Danio rerio: one gene and its partner. The protein of the gene in region 2 purifies or fractionates together with the protein of the main gene of each other region. This does not show direct contact. Links are inferred from orthologs where the notes say so. Each region holds a gene or a part of one and is shown on either strand. Other genes may lie near its edges.

The links.
Region 1: the proteins of mrtfab (region 2) and srfa purify together in Homo sapiens (affinity purification with western blotting; 4 studies listed by BioGRID and IntAct, with this or other methods). This does not show direct contact. The link is inferred for Danio rerio from reciprocal best matches to the Homo sapiens genes MRTFA and SRF.

Annotation. Positions count from the first base shown.
Region 1 is NC_133197.1:37,094,799-37,100,484, forward strand, and holds the start of srfa (serum response factor a), read left to right. Parts: upstream 1-2,326; 5' UTR 2,327-2,649; coding exon 2,650-3,099; intron 3,100-5,686. UniProt on the Homo sapiens protein: SRF is a transcription factor that binds to the serum response element (SRE), a short sequence of dyad symmetry located 300 bp to the 5' of the site of transcription initiation of some genes (such as FOS).
Region 2 is NC_133187.1:20,434,190-20,439,236, forward strand, and holds the end of mrtfab (myocardin related transcription factor Ab), read left to right. Parts: intron 1-391; coding exon 392-490; intron 491-1,762; coding exon 1,763-1,897; intron 1,898-2,024; coding exon 2,025-2,111; intron 2,112-2,217; coding exon 2,218-2,278; intron 2,279-3,031; coding exon 3,032-3,585; 3' UTR 3,586-4,062; downstream 4,063-5,047. UniProt on the Homo sapiens protein: Transcription coactivator that associates with the serum response factor (SRF) transcription factor to control expression of genes regulating the cytoskeleton during development, morphogenesis and cell migration.

The DNA.
Region 1 (5,686 bases), on a different chromosome or scaffold from region 2:
ACATACACTACCCTCGCTCCAACTGTATTTTAAGTGGAACGTTTCAGTATTGACTTGTCCCAAGCTCTAATACTGATTATATCAAAAAATAGTTTTGGTTAAAGGGTTTGCTAATGTAATATCTAAAATTGATCACATATTCATCACAGCAGAAATTACACTGAAATTAGGTAATAAAGGGGACGACACTGTGGCGCAGTGGGTATGTCACCTCACAGCAAGGATGTTGCTGGTTTGAGCCCCAGCTTGGCCAGTTGACATTTCTGTGTGGAGTTTGCATGTTCTCCCAGTGTTTGCGTGGGCTACAGTCCAAAGTTCCCACAGCCCAAGCACATGCGCTATAGGTGAATTGAATAAACTAAATTGGTCGTAGTGTATGTATGTGCAGGGGAGAGTGTATGAGTGTTTACAAGTGCTGGGTTGCGGCTGAAAGCGCATCCACTGTGTAATAATATATGCTGGGTAAGTAGGCTGTGGCGACCTCTGATTAATAAAGGGGCTAAGCCGAAAAGTAAATGAATGGATGAAAATGACAAAGAGGTGACTTGTCCAATTTAACACAGTACTCAATTTCAGGTTTGGTTTTACTATGAGTGATTGTGACTGGGTTCGAACCAAAGACATTTGAGAAACATCGCTTTTTCAGTTTAGTATTGGATTAAAATCATTTTATTAACTCATCCCAATTCAAAATATTTAAAACATAGCTATTATAAGGGCAGCGTTGTTAGTTGTTCTCTGTTTAACGCTTTAAATGCCCCACCATGAAAAAATTGGAATTTCATTTAAGTCCTAATGTCGCTAGTTAACATACTCAATGCATTTTTTTTCAACACATCCCATAATTTCTAAAATATCCACCTCAACCAAATTGTTTATATGTCGATTTATGGTTAAAATACCAAAATTATTACATATACTATAAAAAATCTGAAAATATGAAGTGTAAAGCCAATCTATATTTAAAAAAAATGTATGTATATATATATATATATATATATATATATATATATATATATATATATATATATATATATATATATATATATATATAAACTAAATCATCTTTATTTTTTGAAGTATACCATAAAGTATTTCAGATTCTCATTTAACATGTTTTGTTGTTGTTTTACTATAAAACCAAAATCAAGTGTAGTAGTGCAACAGGATTATTTGTTTGATTTTTTTGTAAACCTACAATGCTGTGTGTGTAAACCATCATTTAAAACAGTCAAACTGTAAATTAGTTTAACAGTCATTATTTAAAACAGTTAAATTATGGTCAACTATTTGGTAAAGCAGGCAGTTAAAGAGTTAAGGAGTTTATTATTTGTATATCTATCATGGAAGAAATTACACGCAAGTAATTATTTTTATTTGTAAGTTGATCAGTGGAAAGAAATGCCAAAATAGTTTGTTGTGAGGTTGGATAGCTTACAAAGGTGTTTGAGAAACATATTTGAGCACTATGTTACCTCAAATACATATTACTTGAGTATAACTTGTTTAAATGTACTTTTTAAACTTCTAAAACGGCGATTCTTTAGCAACAACATTGAGCCTTTTCTACATTTAAAAGGTTTGCTAATACGTTTATTTTATTTATTACATTATTTTTATTTGTAAGTGTGATATGGATGAAAAAGCCAAACGACTTAATGTTATATCTCCCAATATATAACGTAACAGCTTCATCTGCTGGTAAAACGGAGTAGCGCATCATTTGCACAGCTCCCACAGAGCTGAATTTGACGAGTTTGCCCTAAATTTAAATTAAGCGGTCACGCTGTCAACTTATATTAGGTTTTAAAACTCAATCAAGTACATTTGATTTACCTTTTCTCATATTTCTCCTCAAAAACGCGGCGTTTTGTCGTTATATATTACTATTCAGTTCTGAGGTAAAACACATTTGCTAGCTAGTTCGTTGTGTATGACGTAAATCATTTGTGTCAGCCAAATGACACATGAGCCAATCGCAGGGTCGGAGAGGTTTGCGTAACCAATCGCAGCGCAGCACTGTGACTCACCATACATGGACAGCCATCACCATATAAGGAAACATCGACTCGCTTTATATGGAGGAAAGTAGATCTATAGACGAACGTCTCGTGAGTTAAATTCTCAAAATAAGCAATATTTTACTAATTATTTTCCCCAGAAAACGTTAAACTTAATATTTGACCAAAATAGTGCTTTTTATGAGCTAATAACGTATTATCTAAAACAATACCGACCTTTAAGCAGAGAACTATTTTTAAAGGCGGAGCTGCATTGCGCGGTCGCGATTCGTCGTTTCCAAATGTGGCAAGCGCAGCGTAAGTTCAGTCGAGGTTTGATTGATGGACTGTAGGCGGAAACTATATGTTGTAAACTTTGTACGGTGGTCGTAAAGGGCTAGTTTTGCAGGTTTATTTCTGTCGTTTACGAGACCCTCAAATCCTGACTTTCATACTGAAACAAATCCATCCGTAACCAGAAATAGCGCTTGCCTGCTTTAAGTTGTCCGCTGAGTTGAGCTAATGTTTCTTAGCCTAGCATATGTGAGGTAAGTTCGGTTTTGGGTCTGGATTTGATCTGGGATCTGCTGCACAGATCGCTAACTTTACACCCACCGCAGACCGCCGTAGTGCCGCTTGCAGGTCAGCGATGTTAGGGGGCAACGGGACGGCCAGAGGGGCTGGACGCTCTGGTAATGGCACGGGATTGACACCTCTACAGGTGGGCAGCACATCTGGGGCTCTGGGGGCTGTAAACTCTGTCATAAACCTGCCCGATGGGGGCAGATACGACGACGGGCCGTCGGTCGAGGCTGTGCTGAGCGGCTCCGATGGAGACTCAGACTCCGGGGACGATGAAGAGAGCCCTGTGCCGGACAGGAGAGGGGTGAAGCGGGAGAGGAGCGAGCTGGAGGTCGGGGGATCTTCTGGATCTAACGCCGCACTCTCGGCAGGATACGGAGGGGTCTCCAGCGGGGTGGCCGGAGCGAAGCCCGGCAAGAAAACGCGAGGACGGGTGAAAATTAAGATGGAGTTTATTGACAACAAGCTGAGGAGATACACGACCTTCAGCAAGAGAAAGACTGGCATCATGAAGAAGGTATGTTCATGTGTCTTCTGCTGTTAGTCTGGAACTGATTGTACCACTGCTGTTCTACTGCTGTACTGATGCTAGTTTTACACCAGTGCTAAACATCTATGCTAATATTAGCACTACAACTACTAGTAGTGCCATGCCAATACGTTCTTCAGTAACTGGTACTCTAGTAAACTTTAGTATTTACCTCATTGTGCTTTGTTTAATTCTGTATAAATAATAGTACCACTAACATTACTATATTCAGGATTCCCACTGGTCATGGAATTGTAAAAGCTCTATCCCACATCCTGTAAGTCAGGGAATTGTATACATTTTTTGGTAACACTTTAGGTTATTACATATTTATAATTATGACATTGGTTGTTTTTTAGTAGTTATAAAGTATCGTTTTATTCAACATCCTTAAACCTACCAATACCTAAACCATAGCTCTCAAACTCAATTCCTGGAGGGCCACAGCTCTCAGTTTTGCTTCAACCGTAATCAAACACAACTTATTCAACTAATCAAGGTATTACTACTAGTAGAGACTATTAAGTAGGTGAGCTAGAGATGGTTGGAGCTAAACTGTGCAGAGCTGGGGCCCTCCAGGAATTGGGTTTGAGACCTCTGACCTAAAGCCAACTTCTTACTAACAGTTAATTAGCAGCAAATTAGTACCTTAGTGAGAAAAAAGTCTTAGTTAATGGTTTGTTTATAACAATAATTGTACCTTAAAATAAAGTGTAACCATTTTTATTGGCCCAAGTCATTGAATAACAGGGATTGTTGTTGTATTTCTTATTTCTTTACATTTATAATTTGTTTTTCAAAGTCAAATTATATTCTTCTCCCGCTTGTCAGCTGGCATAAGTCCTAGGGTGCTATCACACCTGCCTTATTTAGTTCGGTTGAATCGCACTAGAGTTCGTTTTCCCTCTTGGTGCGGTTCGTTTGGGCAGGTGTGAATCTAACAATCGTACTCGAGTGCGCACCAAAAGCGGACTAAAAAAGCATAGCAAGACCCCTTAGAGGAGGTGATCTCGGTACGCTTACAAACATGGCAAATTAATTCTTAGTATTATAAATATTTATTATTGTCTGCCACATAATAAAAAGTTTGAACAATAACACACTTACAGGTAAAAAAAAGATAAATAAAACATCAACGTTTTAATTAAAATGTAATTTTAAAAGTTTTTACTTGAATAATTCAGCGATTCCTCCGCGTACCACTAGAAGGAAGTCCGCGTACCACTTGAAGGAAGCCAGTGCATTGATAATGACCAAAAACACATTGAATGAGCAATTTTACCCAATAAATGCATCAATAATATCCACTGATTTTTAGATATTCAATTAAGTGAACTTAAACGATTAGAATGGCAACAAATATTTAGTTGAACCCAAACTACAAAAAAAAAACATTTAAAATAATTTTAAACTAGTTTTAAACTAGTGGGGTTTTGAAATCAATTAATGCAAATAATCGAAATAACTGTAAAGCCGTGATTATTTCTAAGACTATAAGCGTACAACCAAAATTTATAATCGTTGCATCCCTATTTTCAACTGGTTCAGATTAAAGCAATCAATTTGGTGTGAAAACGGCCCAAAAACGGCAGAAAATGCTACAATGTGTCATTTGTTGCCCTTGGTCCGGACCAAATGACCGAACTACAGATGTAAAACCACCCTTATGCACATAAGTCAAAATGCAATCCCCAGGCTTTACCTGTTAAATACTGTCTATATTTTGTGTCTGCCCAGTGCTCAACCCAACAGAAGGTATAATAAACCTTAAAGACGTCACAGAAATCAAGCATTTTGCTATTTAGTCAGTAAAATTTACATATTTTGACATTTGGTTTAGACTGGGAGCCCTGTATATGATACTAAATCTATAGAAATAGTTCCACTTGATTGATCCTAGAGCTACAGTAGAGATGCTAGCTTAGATAGTTTAAATTAATACATATTCTAACACTTCACAAAAACTCTACCACTAAATGTAAAAATACTTCATTTAAAACATTAATAATATTAGTGTCAATGGTTTGAACTCATGAAACTGATTCTATTATTGTAAAATAACAGTGTAAATTACAACATTGATGTTAATTCTATTGAAGTAGTAGTATCACTAGATTATATTGTAAAATTTCAGATACTAACTCTTTTTAAGTACCAGTATTTGCTTAAAATCATACTGCTGAGAAATACCTTTCTTAAATCTCAAAATCAAAGTTGTAGGCTTTAAAAAGTCTCAAATTTACTGAAATATTGTGTTGTAGGTCTTAAATCTTTTTTTAAACAGGTCTTAATTTTCATTTGTTCATGTATTGCTATCCAATCTGGCCAAAACCCATAAAATCACCAACAATCCATCTCAACTTTAAACTTTTTTTTTATTATTATTTAAAAGTTAATTTTTAACTCTGTTTATCATAATGGTTTAATTATTTTCCTTGTAATAACATTTGTTTAGAAGTGGTCCATGTATTTACTGTTGAGGACACTGACCTGGACAGGTTGTTGTGCATAGATTAGGTTTGTTATAGTTTTTAAAACTTTTAAAACATTTGTTCATTTTTTTTATTTTAAAGAA
Region 2 (5,047 bases):
AAGAATAATTTATTGCTTGTTACATAGTTACATTTGATTGTTATACAAATTAAAGGTTCGTAGAAGCTAATGTTTTGAAATGATGCAATTTAATAGTATATTTTAGTATGCTTTTTATACTAGTATTTTAATTTATTATAGTTATTATTTATTTTTTCATAGCAGAGCTTAATTTTTACATAAGTCTTTAGAAGTCATTCTAATATGCTAATTCGTTTTTTTTAAGTTTATATATGTATATGTTCCTGTATATGTCTATATGTGTATGCGTCTGTGTGTATCACTGCTGCTTCATATATATGTTATAATAATTATATTTTAAGTAATATTTAAACGTATATTTATTAACATTTATTTGAGTTATAATTTTCGGTTTGTTTATTTGTTTCAGAGATTGCAGTCGACCCCTATCAAGCTCCCTAGCCAATCATCTACTGATATGACAACTTCTGCCAATCATTCACAAGCTGTCCGAGAGCCCATCACCAAGGTATGTTGAAATGACTTGTGAATGTGCTTTTTTAAACATGTCGAAGATCTGAAAAATTGCATATTCATCAGCTCTGTTATTTAAATGGTCATTAAAGGGGCATGAAACACTGAGATGCTTAACAGATACTGAATGCAGTGTAAAAATGATGAAACACAATGACATGCACACTTTAGCCAGAGCAGAAGTTATGCAATTGAGAAGTTTACATACATGGTTGTTTTGATTAAATTTGGTGAATGTGACAATATCATTTAATTTGTTTATGTTTTTACACTCATGTACTTTTTATGATGCTTTTGACATAAGGTTTAATTCAAAATTCCCACTATAACCGCATTAAGTTGAACATTTAAGTTTTACCATTTTTTTTATTCATTTAGCTGATCCTGGGTCTGGCAAAAGCACTTTTAGCTTAGTGTAGCATAAATCATTGTATTAAATTAGACAATTTGCAACTCGGTTAATAAAAAAAAAAAAAAAGTTTTTCTGGGATTTTAATGTTTAAAGCTTGACTATTCTGTAGTTAGGTCGCGTACGAAGACTGACAGAATAATGAAGAGTTGCTATTTTCTAGGTCAATATGACATGGAACTATTCTCTCATTCTGGCTTAATAATAAACAAGGAACTCTGCAGCTGTGTCATAGTTACAGCATGTTCAATGATATTACAAATGATGTTACTTTACTCTCATTTTGAAATTTGCAAATGCTAATGGTCTAATCTGATTTAATTATTTATGCTAAGCTAAACTGAAAGTGCTCTATCTGAATGGATTAAAAAAGGGTAAAACTCAACTACAAAACATTAGGGGACTGATGAAAATGAGCCTGTTTTCAAAATAAAGTGGAGTGTTGCTTTAGGAGTGAATGTAAATATAGTACACATGCATTTACGGTGTATACGTATTTACAGTATTATTTTTTAAGCATCTTGTTTAAAGTTAGCATTAAGTGAAAGCTGCATGGATTTGAATTGCTCAGTGTATACCTGATTTGCACGTCACTAAAAGTATTGGTGTGGTTTAAAATTAAAAAGGTATTGGATGTTAATCCTTTTCCTAGAGATGGGTTGCAGCTGGAAGGGCATCCGCTTGTGCTAGTTAATTTGGCACTTTATTCCGCTGTGGCGACCCCGGATTAATAAAGGGACTAAGCCGAAAAGAAAATGAATGAATGAATGAATTGATGTTAACTGGGCAACGTCAATTCATTGAATGAAACTTCTGAAACATTCATTTACTCATGTTAAAATCTGTTTGCCGGTTCAGAAAGCAGGGCTCCACGTAGAAACCTCCAGTGTTCAGGAGAGCAGTCAGCCTGTGTCTGCTCCACCAAGCTTCGAGCCCTTCTTCTGTGAGGAATCAAACCCACTGAACAAACCCACCTCTCCTCCTTCATTTAAGGTATTTCACATGAGTTCATTCCCACACCTCATTTTCCTTTTGCCTTTCACCCTCCTCGCTTTGTTTTAAGCTAAAGCTAGCATTTCTTTTTCCATTTTTCTCAACTCATTATCCGCATCTATTTTAGGAGGACATTTGCCCAACATTTGACCGACATACTTTATTTACCCCTTCCTCTCCAAAGCCGAACCCTCAACCCCCTCAGTGCCTCAAAGTATGGCCTTTACTTGTGCTCATTCTTTCTTTCGCCTTTATTCTTTCACCTTCTGCTTCTGTTTTTCTTTTATTATTGTGTCATTAATTATATTCTCTGTTTTTAGGATAATGTCTCTAACAACCAGCAAATAGATGATCTGTTTGAAATTCTGATGAAGAGTGGAGGTAAAAAAGTCCTTTTTTAAATAAATAAGTTTACTATGTAATTGTAAGATTTAGATAAGTTTTTTAAGCTGGAAGAAAAGAGAACAAAACTTAGGATGATTTTATTTAGATTAGATGCATTTAAGGGACATATCACCCAAAACTGAAAATTCATTTACTCTCCCTTGTTTAAGAACTATTTAACTTTTTTTCTGTTTAATTCCAATCAAATCCTTATAAAAATCCGGAAACCTGTAACCTTTGACTTCCACAGTATTTAAGTCGGTGATTTCAGATTTTCAGCTATCTTCAAAATATCTTTAACAGAAAATAGAAACTCATAAAGCTTTAGGACCTCTTAAAGTTGAGTAAATGATTACTTTTTTTGTGAATTGTCTCTTTAAATTGATTAAAAATCAGTTGTTTCTGAGCAAATACTTTTCTTTTCTACATTTTACAATATAATATAATATAAGATATTAAAAACAAAACCATTGTGGAACTCTAATAAGTACAAATAGGTAAAACCTACTGTTTTACTATTGGTAAAAATATGTTTTTGAAGCTGTCCTTTATTAATAAAGTATTTTACACTCATCATATGAGTCGTGATATTTTATATACACAATAAGTACTTACTTTTTATGTACGTATAAAAGATTCTAGTATATTGTTACATAGATGTTTAATATGTTTATACACTGTTTACATCTGTAAATCATGGTAAAAAATGTACGATATAATATATATAACCTCTCTTTTTTCCCACCTCAGAAATTTCATCTGGATTTAAGGCCAGTCAAGACCCCTCCCTTTCTGACCTCCACTCCAACCCGCCCTCTCCATCCCCTCCTCCATCTCCCCTCCACCTCTCTCCACCAGCACATCACCCTGAACCCATGCCCGTCCCATCCCAGCAGCTCCTGGACACTCAAAACAGGCCCTGCTCCTCCACCGGCCGCCTCGAGGACTTTCTAGAGAGCACAACCGGCGCTCCTCTCCTCGGTGTGGAGCCGGATAGCCCGTTAACCCTAATCGATGACCTACACAGTCAAATGCTGAGCACTTCCAGTATTCTGGACCACCCGCCATCCCCAATGGACACCAGTGACCTGAGCTTCTCGTCCCATCCGGCCAGCCTGGACTTCGAAGACCCTGCTCTGGATGGAATGGATTGGCTGGGCATACCCGTGGTCACAGGGGGCAGTAATTGTAATGGCGGGGGTCTGGTCCTCGCCCCTCTGAGCTCACACACCCCACCCAGTGTCTTTTCAGCAGACTTTTTGGACAGTCCAGATCTGCAGCTCCACTGGGACTCCTGTTTGTAGCTTCTGGTCTTAATTCGCTCAACGACACACACAATTTAGCACATTCAACCTTACTGTGTATTAAGCAGTACACAAAACACTCCAGACGCACACGCTGTTAATTATGCTTCACGTTTTCTTTCCTTCATATTCCGAAGCCGAATGGTATTTAAACAGTTCCTGCGTCTGATAGCACTGACTTTTAAGCTCTCGTTCACTGCACTCAAATAACCACATGATGGCGCTGTTTCTTTTGTAACAGACCAATCAGGACCCTGAAAACAGCTCAAAGAATCCCTTCTTTGGTCTAAATATCAGATGAGTTGTCTATGCTGGTTAGTTAGTACAATCTTTAAAGCACCATATAGTGTTACGTCTGCCCATGGTAATAAAGCTATGACCTCATAAACATTATATATGAGGCCATTTCTGCTCCACAAGTTGTTACATGCAAGCTAATTGGCAAAAAGATACAGGATATCATAAACCTCCTTGAAACCCGTTAGTTCTTCCAACATTGCACTTAAGCCGACCCGACTGGTGCTCTGGTCAACACGACCCAATGTAATGGGCTCTGCAGGGAACCAGGTTTGGTGACGTTCACCAGATCTCTATGCATTGCTGTAGTTAGGATCATGTATTGATGAAACCTTTGTTCTTTTTGCTCTGATTCTAGCGATTCGCTGGTGGAGGTCAGTGCTGGGGTTTCAGGTTTCAGAGTATTTGGAACTTCTTGTTTTTTAAAAAAAGAAAAAAAATGAAAGGAAAAACTGCTGTGTGGCGTGTGGTCTCTTGTTTGCATCTGCACTTGTGTATTTAGAATACATTCACACACATGGTTATTTATGTAGTCGAACTTTGAGGCAAATCAGTATTTTGATTTTTTTCAGATTTTTATATAAACTACCTGACAAAAGTATCGTCACCTATCCAGGTTTTAGGAACAACAAATATTGACTTGACTTCTGGTTGATCAATTGGTCTTCCAAGATTCTTTGGATTCATCTTCAATGCCGCCTCCAACTTACCCCAGAGATGCTCAGTAATGTTGTTTGTTTGTTTGCTTGCTTGCTTGCTTGCTTTGTTTATAGAGCACATTTAAAAGCAACAGATGTTGACCAAAGTGCTTTACAAAAAGACCAGCATACAAAATTTATACCTATATATAAAAATAAGCAAAACCTATAAAACAGATTAAAATTATTTAATTACAATCAAAAGGCAAGAGACAGAAGGTGATTTTTTTAGATGAGACTTAAAAGCACCAAGTGAAGAACATGACCTGACATGTAAAGGCAGACCATTCCACAGTCGGGGGGCTGCAGCAGAAAAAGCCCTGTCACCTCTTGATTTCAACCATGTTTTGGGGACAACTAGCTGAAACTTGTTTTTTTTTACCTGATTGACCTAAATGAAGTGTGCCAGTGAAAAAGCTCAGAGATGTAAATAGGTGCCAGACCATTCAAACTTTTAAAAACAAGTA